2 linked regions of the Alligator mississippiensis genome follow. Each later gene encodes a partner of the first gene's protein in a complex. Links are inferred from orthologs where the notes say so. Each region holds a gene or a part of one and is shown on either strand. Other genes may lie near its edges.

The links. Proteins that work in one complex are often made in the same cells at the same time.
Region 2: the proteins of tubulin beta-4B chain (region 1) and CFAP107 are in contact, whole or in part, in a cryo-EM structure (PDB 9CPB), measured with the Bos taurus proteins. The link is inferred for Alligator mississippiensis from reciprocal best matches to the Homo sapiens genes TUBB4B and CFAP107. Residues at the interface, in NP_001029835.1 of Bos taurus: Lys19, Glu22, Asp26, Tyr36, Asp39, Ser40, Asp41, Leu42, Gln43, Leu44, Glu45, Glu53, Gly56, Gly57, Tyr59, Pro80, Leu215, Leu217, Thr219, Thr221, Tyr222, Gly223, Asp224, His227, Leu228, Ala231, Gly244, Gln245, Phe270, Pro272; in NP_001033296.1 of Bos taurus: Thr74, Val75, Glu76, Gly77, Leu78, Tyr80, Lys81, Leu83, Ile84, Thr85, His86, His87, Gln88, Glu89, Gln92, Arg93, Tyr94, Leu95, Ile96, Ser97, Thr98, Asp101, His102, Pro133, Pro138, Thr139, Asn140, Tyr141, Leu143, Tyr144.

Annotation. Positions count from the first base shown.
Region 1 is NC_081835.1:40,550,595-40,557,529, forward strand, and holds tubulin beta-4B chain, read left to right. Parts: upstream 1-3,933; 5' UTR 3,934-3,998; coding exon 3,999-4,055; intron 4,056-4,174; coding exon 4,175-4,283; intron 4,284-4,363; coding exon 4,364-4,474; intron 4,475-5,215; coding exon 5,216-6,276; 3' UTR 6,277-6,432; downstream 6,433-6,935. Other genes in the region: CIMIP2A (ciliary microtubule inner protein 2A), read right to left, coding at 6,433-6,518. UniProt on the Homo sapiens protein: Tubulin is the major constituent of microtubules, a cylinder consisting of laterally associated linear protofilaments composed of alpha- and beta-tubulin heterodimers.
Region 2 is NC_081836.1:6,839,266-6,847,201, reverse strand, and holds the start of CFAP107 (cilia- and flagella-associated protein 107), read left to right. Parts: upstream 1-4,922; 5' UTR 4,923-5,354; coding exon 5,355-5,486; intron 5,487-7,678; coding exon 7,679-7,792; intron 7,793-7,936. Other genes in the region: arylacetamide deacetylase-like 4, read left to right, coding at 798-1,014, 2,543-2,606, 3,459-4,233. UniProt on the Homo sapiens protein: Microtubule inner protein (MIP) part of the dynein-decorated doublet microtubules (DMTs) in cilia axoneme, which is required for motile cilia beating.

The DNA of each region.
Region 1 (6,935 bases):
AAGTTACCTGGGGAATTGGAGGCATTCCCAGATTCAAATTAGGATATTATATAGCAGGGGTGAGCAAAATGTGGCCCTGGGGGCCAGATGCAGCCCACCAGGTCATTCTATCCAGCCTGCAGGGCCCCTAAAAATTTTAGAAAATTAATATTTATTTGCTCTGGGCTGCTTATCATGTGGCCCTTGATTGCTTGCCAAAACTCAGTAAGCAGCCCTCTGCCCAAAATAATTGCCCACCCCTGTTATATAGGGTACATCTACGCAAGTGCTTTACTGTAGAAATGACTAATTAGCTTTGAAGTAAAGAGTCATGATCTACATGTGTGCCCGTATTAAGGCGCAGTAAATTAATTAACTCCACTGTAGGATAGTACTGTCTGGGACAAGTACTTTCCTACAGCAGAGTAGTCACATGTGCCAAAATGCATGTGTATACAGTGATTGGAGCTGCCTGGGGCATGAGGGTGCTACAGTTTGGGGGATGCCTACTAGCTAACTCTGCACTGTAGCACCCTCATGTCCCAGCCAGCCCCTCCACAGCATATTGAGCTGGGGCAGAGGTGCATGTATAAACTCTGCAACCAAGAGCAATAAACTCATGCATGAACTGCACTTCAGTTTATTGCTACCTGCTAACTGCACATGTACATGCACCCATAGAGGGTTGTGATGAGGAGCAGATGTAGAATGACGGGAGGGCTAGTAAATGGTGAATTATTTTGCTGCATCAGGCAACTGGGATTGATTGAGTTAGGAGAGGGTTACTGTCTGTTTTTGGAGGTTTAGGAATGGTTAAGGGAAGTTTGAAGATGGTGCACAAATGGGGCAAACCTGATAATTGGGAAGTGTAGCCGAGAGTGGAAGGAATAGGAAAGTGGGGCTGGGTCAAAGGGGATGGGAGCATAGTATTCAGGTGTGTCTTTTCTTACAGTCATTGCTGTGACTGTAGCTTGGGTAGGCATACCTGAGCTAGCTTGAAAATTAGCTAGCTTGTGTACTGCTCTCTGTAGCCATGGCAGCATAGAACTCCGTGCCAGTTGCAAAAGCAGTGAAAACATGAGGTAAATATGTGGATGGCTAGCCCATTCTGAGCTCCCTGGTACTGCAGATACATTGCTAATGTCACTCAAGCTTATTAGTTTAAATATAGCTTTAGGTATGTCTACACAAACTAAATTCACAATAATATATTTGTGAGCTCCCTAGTGGCATTCTATTTTATGCCTCAGAAGTTGCCAGAAGCCATTCAGAGCAGTACTGTGTTTTCATAACTGGGCTTGGCAAAGCTGTGTATATTTAGTAAACCACTGTGCCGCTTTGGTTTCTTTATATTGTTTGTGGCTAAATATTGGAGAAAGAAGGGGTTGAGAAGGGAGGACTGGGTGTTAGGAAGCAGAGAAGTAACTGAATCTCAATAGTTGGGGTATTATAGTATTGGATATAGGGGAAATGTTTGTAGGGAAAGGGTACAGCAGCCAACTTTTGAGGAACACAATCTGGGGCAGTGCCAGACACTCCACAGGCCTCTTGAACCAGAAATAGCACCACTTATAGCTCTGGATAGTGCGCTTGCCTTAGTGTGGTGCTGCAGGTTGGCTAATTAGACCCATGCAGTACTGTGTGAATGCCAGTATGAAGCCAACTGCCTCCCACACAGGTAGAAGTATAGTTGCATTCTTGCAGCCTAGTGCTGCACCTATTCAAGCTTCAGGACACTTCCTTTCACTGTGAAATGTCACCTCTTTTGGGATCTTTTTTCCAAATTCAGGACAAAATTTAGATCTTTGGGTACAGGCTAAAAATTTGATAATCTCCTGGAAAATTTGGAAAGCCATTTGCTTTAGGGAAGGAGAACCTGTTTGTTGGAGGGTTGAGTGTAGATGGGTTTGCGAATGACAGCTAGGTGAGGACAGAAAGAGGCCTTTGTATAAGAAAGGGAATTAGGGTCGTGGTGGGCAGTTGGAATATGTCTTTGGAAAGGGGTACTATGTTTAGAAATGCGTATAGGGGTGGTTGGGGGGCTGGTAGTAAATCTGGGTATCAGGATGACCATAGGGTTGGGTGTAGGAGTGGATGGCAACTCAGTGTTGGGAGGTGGAGGAGGGTTAGGAAGGAGATTCTAGTTTGGGGAAAGAAAGAGGAAGTTTAGGATAGAAGTCTGAACGTAGTGTGGGCCTGGTAGGTTGTGTTTCAGGAGGTTCGTCCCAGGGTTGCTGTGCATTTCTGAAACTGATTTTGGAAAGATGTATAGAAAGGCCCAGTGAGGAAGGAAGAGATGTCCCTGATATCAGAATGCACAGAATGGGTGGATGATTGGTATCTGGATAATGAAAATGTATGAAGGGACTTGTAGGGAACTTGGTCTGGGGTACTGGGGTTAGTCTGGAGTGGTAGCAGGGTGTCAAGTGGGACAAGTTGGCTGAGAAGGGAGCCTCACTTGCAGTACAGCAGGTCTCTGGAAAGGGGAGGATTTGGAAGCAGGGTGAAAGGGCAAAGTGCTTGGGAAGGAGCTGCTGAGTATCAGGGATGCGTGCACTTGCAGAAGTGGGGCTGGATGCTGAGCAACAGGCTTTGGGGAAATAGGATGTCCCAGGTGGCAGTTTGGGACGATTGGTGGCAGTGGGAAAAAAGGGTGCATGGCAGAAGTGGCTTGAAATGAAGTAGGTGTTGGCTGCCAGGGCTGTGGGGATGTTGAGAGAGTGCGTGCTGGGCACCAGGGGAGTGGATGGTGTTTGGGAAGGGGCTGCTGGCTGCCATGCCTCCACGAATGCCTCATGCATGCCTCATGCCTCCCCAGGCTCGGGGGTACGGCGACCACCCGCAGAAGGCGGCGGGTTGTGGGGGCAGTGAGCGGGGGCCACCTGCAGGCGGCCGCAGCAGTGTCAGGGGCAGGCTGCGGGAGATGGTGAGCGTTGACCGGCGGTTGGCGACCACCCGCAGATGCCGCTGGCAGTGGCGACGGTGGCCAGCGGCAATCGGCAACGGCCCGCAGACGCTGCCAATTGGGGGGAAGGGGAGGGGTGGCGGGCGGCAACCGCCTGCAGGCGCCACCAGCACCGTTGGCAGGGGCAGTCTCCAGGGGTGCACCGACAATCTCAGGGGGTGCATGTGCACCCCCTGCGCGCAGTCAGTGCGTGCTTGTGACGGATGTTGGGAAGGGGACCCCGGGCGGGGTGGACAAGTGGCATGGGCCAGGGGCGAGCGGAGTAGCAGATCCGGCAGGGAGCAGAAAGAAGAGCGAATCGGCAGTGGCAGGGGACCGAGAGGCAGGTGGGGAGGCAGCAGCGCTCCTCGGCCCACTGGTTCAGGACATCAAGGGCGGGCCGCACGCGGTCAGAGGAGGTATTTCAAGTGTGCGGATGCCGGAGAGGACGGGCCTCAAAATGTTTTTCTTTTTCCAAGGAAACGCGTCCCAGGCAACACTGAAGGGGAGCTGCCCCCACCCCCACATTTACGGCCACAGCGTAGCGCCTTGCCGCAGCTCGTAGTACACGTCCCGCCCGTTACGCTGCAGACGCAGCCTAAAGCCTTTCAAGAATACAGACAGAGCCACCGCCTTGCTCCTAACGCAAACCTCACTGCGGCGGTTCCTAGGACACGGGGTGTTAACCCAATCGTTGTGAGATTACTTCATTGCTACGGGAAACAGCCAATCAGCCTCTACATCAATCATTCAATTAAACCAATCGGAGCTGTGCTGAAGAGGGAGGGGAGAAATTGTGACGTTCAGAAACTTAACGTCACGACCCGCAGGAGGGGGCGGTGTTGGTTGAGGAAACGTGATAATTTGACCGACAGTTTCTTAACCAATCGCGCTTCTCTCTGTTCCGAGCCTCATTATGGTTGTCCAATAGTTTTTGCCAGCGGTCGGCCGGGGCCGAGGGAACGTGGGTGCGCGCGCAAACCGTTACTATATAAACGGCGGCGGTTGCTTGACGCACGCAGTGAGGCTGGTGCGGTGCTGTGGGCGGTTCGGAGTTGTCTGCAGAGCCGCCATAATGAGGGAGATCGTGCACCTCCAGGCCGGGCAATGCGGGAACCAGATCGGGGCCAAGGTCGGTGGCAGGGGGCGGGCGGGCGGGCCGGTAGTAACCCTCGGTACGCGGGGGCAGTGGCTGACAGGCGGGAGGGCCGCCGCTCGCTGCAACCTCTGACCTGGGTGTGTCTCTTGCAGTTCTGGGAGGTGATCAGCGACGAGCACGGTATCGACCCCACCGGCACCTACCGCGGGGACAGCGACCTGCAGCTGGAGCGCATCAACGTCTACTACAACGAGGCCACAGGTAGGTGCTGCCCCCGCCCCTCCTGCCCCCCCCCCCCCGCACCCCGATTTCCGGCCTCACTCTGCCTCCCTGTTTTCTAGGTGGCAAATATGTTCCCCGCGCAGTGCTCGTGGACCTGGAGCCGGGCACCATGGACTCTGTGCGCTCTGGGCCTTTTGGGCAAATATTCCGACCTGACAACTTTGTCTTTGGTGGGTGTCACAGGGTTTGTTTGGGATTGGGCGGGCAGGCGGGGGGATAGCTTGCCTTGTCTGTAGTGAACTTTATCCTGGCTGTAGAGGACTTCTTTGGAGCAGGGTAAGCTTCACCTAAGGCTTGGCTCTGTTTGAAGTGGTCACAGGTGTTTTGGGTGGGACGTGGACAGGGGCAAGGAGTGAATTCCTTGTCAACACACTTATGATGCATCCAGTTTCTGTTGCAGTGTAATCACTGCGACTTCGAGTTGATCCAAGGGGGCATTGTGCGAACATGGTAATTGGTGTTCAACCTTCTGGCCCTTTAGAGGAATGGTAAGGGGTCACTCCACAAACCAGCACGCTTTTAATATGTCTACTTCTCTCTCACCATTAAACTTCTGGACCTGGAGAGAGCTGTCTGTGCCATATGTTGAGCACCACTGTTTTTAACAGACTTTGCATGTTGAATACTCGCACTATTTCTTTATAGAATAATCTGGAATAAGAACTTTAAATTCATGAACTGCTGTCTTTTTGCCAGACTTGGCTTCAGGCACAGTCATGTCTATTTTTTTTTTTTTTTTTTTTAATATTAATATTGAAACTTGTTCTTTAAAAAGTAATTAAAGAATAATATTTCTTAAATATTGTCACTACCAGGAAATGCATTCTCAAGCACTCCATTTAAAAAAAACCCATCCAAACCCATAACATCAGCAGTGCCTGTAATGTAATGTAAAAATGGTTTTCTTCCAGGTCAGAGTGGAGCAGGAAACAACTGGGCAAAAGGCCACTACACTGAAGGTGCTGAACTGGTTGACTCTGTGCTAGATGTTGTAAGAAAAGAGGCAGAAAGCTGTGACTGCCTCCAGGGTTTTCAGCTTACACACTCCCTTGGTGGAGGCACTGGCTCTGGTATGGGCACCCTCTTAATCAGCAAGATCCGTGAAGAATATCCAGACAGGATCATGAACACTTTTAGTGTTGTGCCTTCACCTAAAGTATCGGACACTGTAGTAGAGCCTTATAATGCCACACTTTCTGTACACCAGCTTGTAGAAAACACAGATGAAACCTATTGCATTGATAATGAAGCACTATATGACATCTGTTTCAGAACGCTGAAGCTAACTACTCCAACATATGGTGATCTGAACCATTTGGTGTCAGCAACCATGAGTGGAGTGACCACTTGCCTACGTTTTCCAGGCCAGCTTAATGCTGACTTGCGTAAACTTGCAGTTAATATGGTTCCTTTCCCCCGTTTGCACTTCTTCATGCCTGGCTTTGCCCCACTCACCAGCCGTGGGAGCCAACAATATCGGGCTCTAACTGTGCCAGAACTCACACAGCAGATGTTTGATGCAAAGAACATGATGGCGGCATGTGACCCACGTCATGGCCGCTACCTCACTGTAGCTGCTGTTTTCAGAGGCCGCATGTCAATGAAAGAGGTGGATGAGCAAATGCTTAATGTACAAAACAAGAACAGCAGCTACTTTGTTGAGTGGATTCCCAATAATGTTAAAACAGCTGTTTGTGACATCCCACCCCGTGGCCTGAAAATGTCTGCTACATTCATTGGTAACAGTACAGCTATCCAAGAATTATTTAAGCGTATTTCTGAGCAATTTACTGCTATGTTTCGCAGAAAGGCTTTCTTGCATTGGTATACTGGGGAGGGCATGGATGAGATGGAGTTCACTGAGGCTGAGAGCAATATGAATGACTTGGTATCTGAGTATCAGCAGTATCAGGATGCTACAGCGGAGGAAGAAGGGGAGTTTGAGGAAGAAGCTGAGGAAGAGGCAGCATAACATTTATGCAGTAGCAATTCCTGTATATTATGTCTAAAGCTGTATGAACTCTTTCCATTCAAAACTTTTTTGTTTTTGTTTGTCTGTATTGTGTGAATCTTTTGCTGTTCCATGACAACTTCATGTCCACTGATGTACAGACAATTAAAGCATCTTTCAAAATGCATGAGCTTGTTGCTTTTGTTTCTGGTAAGCTTTTCGGGAACTGTTGCCAAAGGTCAGCATGTAGTTGTTTCTAATAGCTGGAAAATAAAATGCAGTAAAGTTAGCAAGTATTCATGCAAAAATAGTTTTGATTGGACAAATTTGTGGAACAAAGCTAGACAGCTAGTAAACTCAAAATATATGCCTGCTTGCAAGGAAGGGATGGTGTGGCAAGATGGTGCTCTTGTCAAAGAGCCTGCTACCCTAGAGGTGGTGAAAGGGATTGGGTGGGGGTGGGGGGGGGGGTGCAGAAGAGTCTACATCTAGTTCAAAGACCTGACAACAAGGTTAGTGCATCCCTCCTCCACCATCGCCTTTATGCTTCCTCTGTTAAACATAGGGAAAATCATGTTCCTATACCTTCCCCATGGGGAGCTGAGCCTCCGGCTTCTGCCATGTACAATCTTCACAGCAAGGTCACTAACCCATTGGCAGTGGGTGGGTGAGTGGAGGTA
Region 2 (7,936 bases), on another chromosome or scaffold:
ATCATTTAGAGATACTACCTAGCAGGAGGCTGAGGGACTTGTGAATCGGGAGATAGTGTCGCAGTTATGGAGAAGCTAGCTAGTTGGTTAGTTAGAGACAAAAGGGTCTGCAGGGGTTGCCTACAGCTCTACAGTTAAAGTCAGTTGTTCATTGAACGGCCATATTTAATGAAACCAATGATCACTAAAAGAATCATGGTATTGGCTTAAAAACCACTAGACATAAGAAGGAAAAAAAAGGGGGGGGGGGGCATTTTTTCCCAGCTTTCTCTAACCAGGGAGGTAACTGCTAGGAATCTCTGAAAACAATAAACTATCAAAAGCCGTACCTTAAAGAAAAACCATACATACTGGAAGACAGGAGAGAAACCAACACGTTTGGCAATACTGCCTCAGGACAGCAGGAGAAGCCTTCAATTCTCTAAGAGCCAGGCAATAGGGTAGGGCTGAATCTAGCTCCACTCTTGCAAAGGTGTCTGACTCACCAGAGGTGAAAGTGCCACAGCTCTTTGATAAAGCTGTGCATGGAGGTGCCTCTATAGACACTGCCTATGCTGCAGGTAGGCCCCCACAGCTTCCAGAACGGTCATTTGGCACCTAGTATATGGTTGTCAGTATTATTTTATTGGTATTATGTTCGTGCCTAATACATGTCCATTATTTTTGCTTCAAGAACACCAATTATTTTGTGTTTCAAAAAATACAGCATAGCTGAGCATACTGTATAGCTGTTTTCCATATGCTAAGAAGACTGGAGTCTTCCTGCACTCACCAGTTGGTTGTCCCACTTTAACTAGGGGAAGATTTTGGAGAGGATGGGTCTCTGCAGCCAACTCAATTTTGTCCGGTGTATAAGATATGGAAAGAAACCAGGGATGGACCCAAAACTCTTCGTTAAAGACCTAAATTTTGAGACGGTGCCTGTGAGGGTTTACCAGCCTAGAGCATCATCGTCTGGCCAAAGAAGAGGAATTGTTTTCTTTCATGGTGGTGGCTGGGTATTTGGAGACCTCGGTACGTATTCAAGATTGCCAACTGTCAGTAAATTTATGTACAGTCAGTTGTAACAAAAAAAAAAAAAAAAAACCTAAAAACCCCTCTCTACAAAGTCCATAGAAAAAGAAGAAAATGGAACCATCCATAAAAAAAACCTAAGCAACCAGGAGCTTTATTGAAGCTCTGTCTCTGAACAAGGCTGAATGCTAGACAGGGAAGAGCACTGCCACCAGATATCTGAGTGGCAGTGCAGCACCCTGTAGGAAGCATCTTCTCAGGGATTTGTAGCCTATATAGCTCACCCTCTCCCCAGACATGTGCTGTTGCATTCCAGTACCGGCCTGTAACATGGCTGGTCAGTAGAGGAATGGGGCACCAGCGCTGGGATCCAACTAGGAGAGGGCACCAGAATTGCCAACTAATGTTTATGTACTGGGGTTGGGGGGGGGGAGAGGGGAAAAGGAAAGAGTGAGGAAGGGAACGAATGGGACACAGGTTGGCTAGAGAGCCTAGCCAAGGGGCTGCTGCCACCCAAGTGGATCTGATGCTGCTATAGCAGTGGCAGCAGTAGCATGGAAAAGTAAACCTTCCCTTCCCTTCACTCACATTTCCCCCACCAACCTCCAGTCCACAGTGCTGGCAACACCTGTCACCCCCCTTCCCCATTCCTGCCCCTGCTCCAGCCCCCTCCCTTCCCCAAGCAGTCAATGAGCTTGCCATGCCTCTGCTGCATGGTCACAGGTCAACAGACAGCAGTCTTTCTTTGGGAGTCTGTGCTAGGACAGGGGGTGGGGCCAGTGGGGGTAAGCCTTGGAGGGCAACATGGTCCGGGATGCAATCCAGGGCATCAGGTGTGGGGGTGAAAATGGGACCTCTGTGGTGGGGGGCAGCACAGTGTAAAACCATTCCTGAAGTCAAGCAGGGTTGCCAAACCAAGGGGAAAAGTTATTGGTAATTTGCAATTACCCAATTTGCAAAGTTTACTGACAACCAAAATTATTTACTATGGTTGGTGTTAACCACCTAAGTTTGAAACCATCCCCTGGCCAAGGCCTTGCAGAATGGTTAAATTTACATTATGTAAAATGTATGTCAGTAAAAATATTGCCTGTCAGTAAAAAAATTGTAGATTATCAATAAAAATGGCTTGGGTTGGCAACCTTGCATGTGTTTAACAGAAAAATTGAGATGGATATTTCTAAAAAGATTTCTCTATGCTTTTACCAACCTCAACATCAAAAACAGAGCTTGGCTTTCACCTGAGATTTGGGAGATGCTCTGATGTTTAACTTTTCTGGTTAGCTGCACTGATTCTGTATCAGATGTTTTTTGTAGGAGAGCACTTGGCAAACTTTACTGGCTGTATCAAGCATCAGGACAGCCTAGAAGAACTAATAGGGCATGAAGGAAGGCAGCATTTAAGAGTGAATGGGGGAAGGAGAGAATTTCTTCTTTCTTTAACTGTAATCTTGGGGAAAATAGGTCATGGAATTGGAAATCCTTAAGACACTAGCAAAGCATCAAGAAAAAAACATTTTTCTTTCAGATTCCCATGAAAAGCTGTGCCGTTACATTGCCAGAGAAAGTGAATCAGTGGTTGCTTCAGTTGAGTAAGTGAACCCCACCCGGTGCTATTATGTGGAGGTTGTTCACTATTTATGTGATAGGCACTTTGAAGGGATGCACTGGTTTTGGAGACCCCCTTTCTCAGACATTATTTCTACATTCCAGTAACTCAGAAAGACTGAGGCTGAGTGAATTTTAAAGCTTTTTACTTTCGTCTTGTGCTGAGATGGTCCTAATAGGCCCAAAGTAAGCTCTTGCATCAGAACACAGCAAGGACATCTGCTGGAACTTAAAAATAAAAAAAAATAAAAGGTGGCGGGGGGGAGAAAGCAAATGTAATAAAGATCATTTTACTACAACATGAATCTCTTTGTCTTCCCCTAATAATTATTATAAACTTGTTAGATACCGAGTTAACTACTCCTCCTCTTAATCAATTCTTGGCTAGACGAACTGCCCTTGAGATTTTGGCTTGAATAAGAAATCTTTCATCTTGTATCCTATATTGTGGAATAACTTTCAGGCATCAATTTATGTTGGCTCCGTACTTTTATAGTCTCTGCATAATCGCATAGTAAGATACTGCACTTGCCCAAAAGCCATGCAATTGAAGTGGACAAGACAAACCCCACAAATATTCAAAGAAGTAAAAATAATATAGGAACAAGTATTATCATTCCCATTGGACAGATGTCATTGAAGCACACAATGATTAAACGAATTAGCCAAGAGCCCAGAGAGAGTCTGGGGCTAAGGTGGGAAAGGAACAGAAAAAGAAACCCAACAGAAAACCAACCCCCCCCCCATGAGGGCTGAATATTAAGACAATTGTAAGACATAAAGAGCCAATTATAAAGTCTCTCAATTTTATAATAACTCTTTCTTTGATATACTAGGTATCGTTTAGCCCCTGAGCACAAGTATCCTGCACAGTTTGATGACTGTCTCACAGCTGCCATACACTTTATGAGGAATACAGAAGACTATGGAGTGGATCCCACACGTATTATCATAGCTGGGGACAGTGCTGGAGGCCATCTTGCTGCTCTTGTCAGCCAAGCAGTCGTGAGTAGGCCAGGCCTTCCTAAACCTCGTGCTCAGGTCTTGATCTATCCGTTCGTCCAGGGATTGGACTTCAATTTGCCATCATACCTACAAAACTGTAAGGTGCCACTTTTGTTCCGAGAACGTGTTCCTTTCTTTGCTTTGCTGTGCCTGAATGGGGACGTATCGGTTTTGGAAGATGTCTTGGAGGGCACCCATATTCCCACGGACATAAAACTGAAGTACAAGAAATGGTTGAGTCTTGACAACATCCCTGAAGAATTCAAGGTCAGAGGCTATAAGCCACAGTTGTTCATTGAATGCAAAAAGGAAGTTTATGAGCAAGTTAAGGAAATATGTGAGCCAACTTTTTCCCCACTTTTAGCGGAAGATGCCATTTTCTGCCAGCTCCCTGAATCTTTCATCCTGACCTGCGAGTATGATGTGCTTAGGGATGATGGGCTGTTGTATAAGAAGCGACTGGAGGATAGTGGTGTTCAAGTGACCTGGTACCATGTTGAGGATGGATTCCATGGAGTCATTTCCATGTTTGATAATGGCATACTTTCATTTCCAGCTGGAAAAAAGGCACTGGACAAAATCATAAATTTCCTAAGAGGCTTATGACAACACTGTAACTATTCTAAAAGGCTTCTAAATGTTGTCATTTTCTTTGTTCCCATGGTGTTTGTTCTTCCATTTAGTGATATTTTATCACTCGGCCTCTTGTGGGCTCAATTCAAGTTTAGTTGAATTCCACTTCTACTGGGAAACTAAAATCTTCCCTTGCAGTGAATCATGCTAAAAGATTTACTTTCGCTTTCTTCTATTGGATTTTCCCTTTGAGAGTCCATATAAAGCAAATTTACAGAATCTATTAGAAAATTAGAACTTTTAGTGACCACACTGTAAAATTTAATTGCATTTAATTGCTGCCTGAGTGCTGTGCTGCGGCTGCATGCAGCACGGGCAATTATCGGCCAAATTATCAGCCACATCTGGAACCTAAGCCCTTATTTCCCATAGACTCTTGGTGTCTTTTTACGCAATTTCTATTTGCACCGTGTTGTTTCAAGAACGTAACCACTGTGTAAATGAAGGCCTGACTGTACTTTGGGTATTTTATTCTATTTTCAACAGAAGCATACTTAATTTCTGAGATAACTGATTGCCTGTATCCCTCCTAAATTCTATAGCCATTTATTAAAGCTAGTGCCATTCTCATGTCCAAGTATTACCTCTTTAATGATGCTCTTCCTTTACAATTTACAGGACTCTTGAGCACACTTGGAGAAATGTAGTGTTGTTCAGTGAGTGGAAAACGTTCAGTTTACTTCAGTAGAAAAGGACCCTCTCTATCTTAGTAATAGAGAGAGGTAATCAGCTACTGTTAGTCTCAGATCAGACAGGGTGGCACTTTATGGCCTGGTTGAGAGAGCCATAAGCTTTCATGGGTGACAGCTTGCTTTATTAGCAATAGGTTATGCCGTTGCCTGGCGAGTGTTTACACACACTGCCAATCCCCACGGAAACGGAAACAATGGTGATTCTGAAGCATCTGAATTAATGAGTTGCACACAGTCACTATCTCACCTTACATGCAGGCAGGTGAAAGTCTGAGCCCCTTTCTACCTGAGCTCTTTTGCCTGACATACTGACAACCGTTCACGTTGCAGAAGAACAAGGGTAGGGGAGCCATTCACTCTTACGTTATAGGAGGGAAGGTGGAGCTTGCGAGACAAAGAAACATGTTTGCATCTCAAGGAGACGTAGAGGACCTGTTTCATCCCATGGGGAAAATGGAACAAAAATACTCCAGTAAAGTTCTCATTGGAAACTGGTTCGAAGACAGGCAAAGGGTAAGATGGGGAAAGGAGGAATAAGGAAAGCGGCGAAATAGCAATAGAGGGGAAGGGGGAAAAGAGGAATAGAGAAAGTTGGAATGGATGCTCTGGAGATGATCAACTACCAAATATTGGGGAAGTTGGGATTGTGATCCATCTTAAAACGAACAAAGGAGGAATGGCAGAAATCGGTTTACCAGCCTGCATCCTGGGCAGGGGCTGGCAGTCTTGCCACTGAACCAGGACTGAAGCAATGCCCGAGTATGAAGGCACAGTGGCTGACAGACAACATACGACCTTTGGCCATGTATTTTCCCATGGTATTTTTCCCAGGACTAGGTATGTTAACTTCCAGTGTTTCAGCCCCATTCCAGTTGGGTAATTACTTTCTGTCTGCCTGAGATGACCACAAATGCATAGATGTTTATCCCTGTATCTTGTACTGTTAATAAGCTATCGTCCTTCCTTCTCAATGGTTTTTAGTGGTTGTTGAAGTGACCCCCATACCAACAGACATTTTATCACCTGCATCTAAAAATCTCTCAAGCATCCTGGGTTCCTTAGGTGAAAGAAGTGTTGTAATAATACTTCATTATTTTTCATTCCTATTATGCTGTAGCATACTTTTGTGTTTCGCTGTGAGATTCATGCACCTTGCCAACTTTCCATTCTTTTAACATATGCTATCTGTCTTTGTGAGCACCGCTTTGGGAAAAAACCCAAAACAAAATGCAACAAAAACAGCTTGTTTCATAATGGTATGTCACAAACAGTTCTCCTGGAAGGGTGCAATTCCCTTAGTTTTCAAAAAGAAAATAAATACATTTAAGTTTTACTGGGTAAGATGGTTTGATAACTGGAGCTTTATTTAAAATGGCAACACCCCAAGACTGAGGTCTTTTTAGACAACCTCTTTTCTTCCTCTCCACACTCAAATTGCATGTCTAATGCAGTTTGTATTTGTGTTGGGGGGGTTTTTAATCTCCAAGAATCAAAAAAATTGTAACTAGTAAGTGCAATGTATTGCATAGAGGACAATACCCTAGAATATATGCTTCTTGGGGCAAGGCCCTTCTCTTTCCTATTTCTATATGGTCTTACCTCAGCGGGTTCCCATGGGAAAAAAATAATATTTCCCCCACCACTAACCTCCAATCATCTCAGAGTGATACTGCATTGGCAATTTAATACACAGAAGGCAGGGTAGATTTGCACCTTATAGATTAACTAAATCAGAAATACATCTAGCATAAGCTTTTGTGAGCACAAGCTCACTCCATCAGATGCTGTGACAGGATGTGCGTAGAGCAGTGTATAAAATGGAGAGAGTGATCTGAATACAGAGGGCAGGAAGGGAGGGAGGAAGGGCAGTGCTGGGAGAAGTGAACATGCATTACAGGACAGAGGCCTGGTTACCTCTCCCGCTTCATAAACTAATACCTGCAACACCCCACCTATTTAGCAAAGGTACCAGAGGACCTGTGAAGATCGTGGTTGTTGTGAATACTGGGTTTATGCCGGGTAAACACCAGCACTTCCAGGAGCCCGGTAGCCTCCTATACCATATTGGTCGTAAGGATAACTGAGCAAAATATTTTCAGAATTTTATTTTTTTTTTTACCAAACACACCTATTCCTTTCAAAAGAAGTGACTCATGAATTTATAATAATTGTGAGACTTAAGATTAAGCTGGATAAATCGTAGAAAGTGTATTGGTAGGGAGCAACCCTGAACCGGTGGGAGATGAGCAAAGTACCAAGAAGAGTGAAATCAACTGCTCTTCCCCCTCCGCTTCCCCCTCCAATAATTAATCCCTGGATCACAAAAAAAGCTATGACAACAAGCCACCGCAGGGCCTGTATTTGAAGCCCATCGTGCATTCACACGCAAAGGATTTCACAAAGAGAGGTTACGCTAATTGATTTGAATACCCGAGACAGAGGGTTAAGAAAGGCTTCAACAAACAGCAAGTATTTCCCCAAGTGACTCTAAAGCCACATCCATTGGCTTTGTGGTTCTTTTTATTGACAGAGGTTCTGTAGACACCAGATTCATTTCTGCTTTGGTGGACAAGCACAAATGAGTTCAATGCCCAATTTCAATGCCCAGTTTCTGCGCTGTGAAAATCTCCCGCAAGAGGCAATTGTTTTGATGACGGCTCCTGGTCTCTTGGTTCAGCCGTTCTGAGTGTGAATAACCCAGATGCAGTGCATACCTCTTTTTCTAGCCGACACAAGAATTTACAAAGCCCAGCAATAGCACCTACAGGACAGACTTTGTTCGCTTCCCGTTCTGCGCTCCAGACCAAACAGTGAAGAGAAGCGTGATGAAGAAACTTGAAGTAAGTGAAAGCAGTCTCAGATTGAAGGATGGATGAGTCAGTGCAGAAAAGAGGAATGAATTAAGAGTAATAAGGTTTCAAATTCTGCCCTACCTCCTCAAATACGTACACGCCCAGGGGGAGGGAGAGAGAGACAGAGGCAAG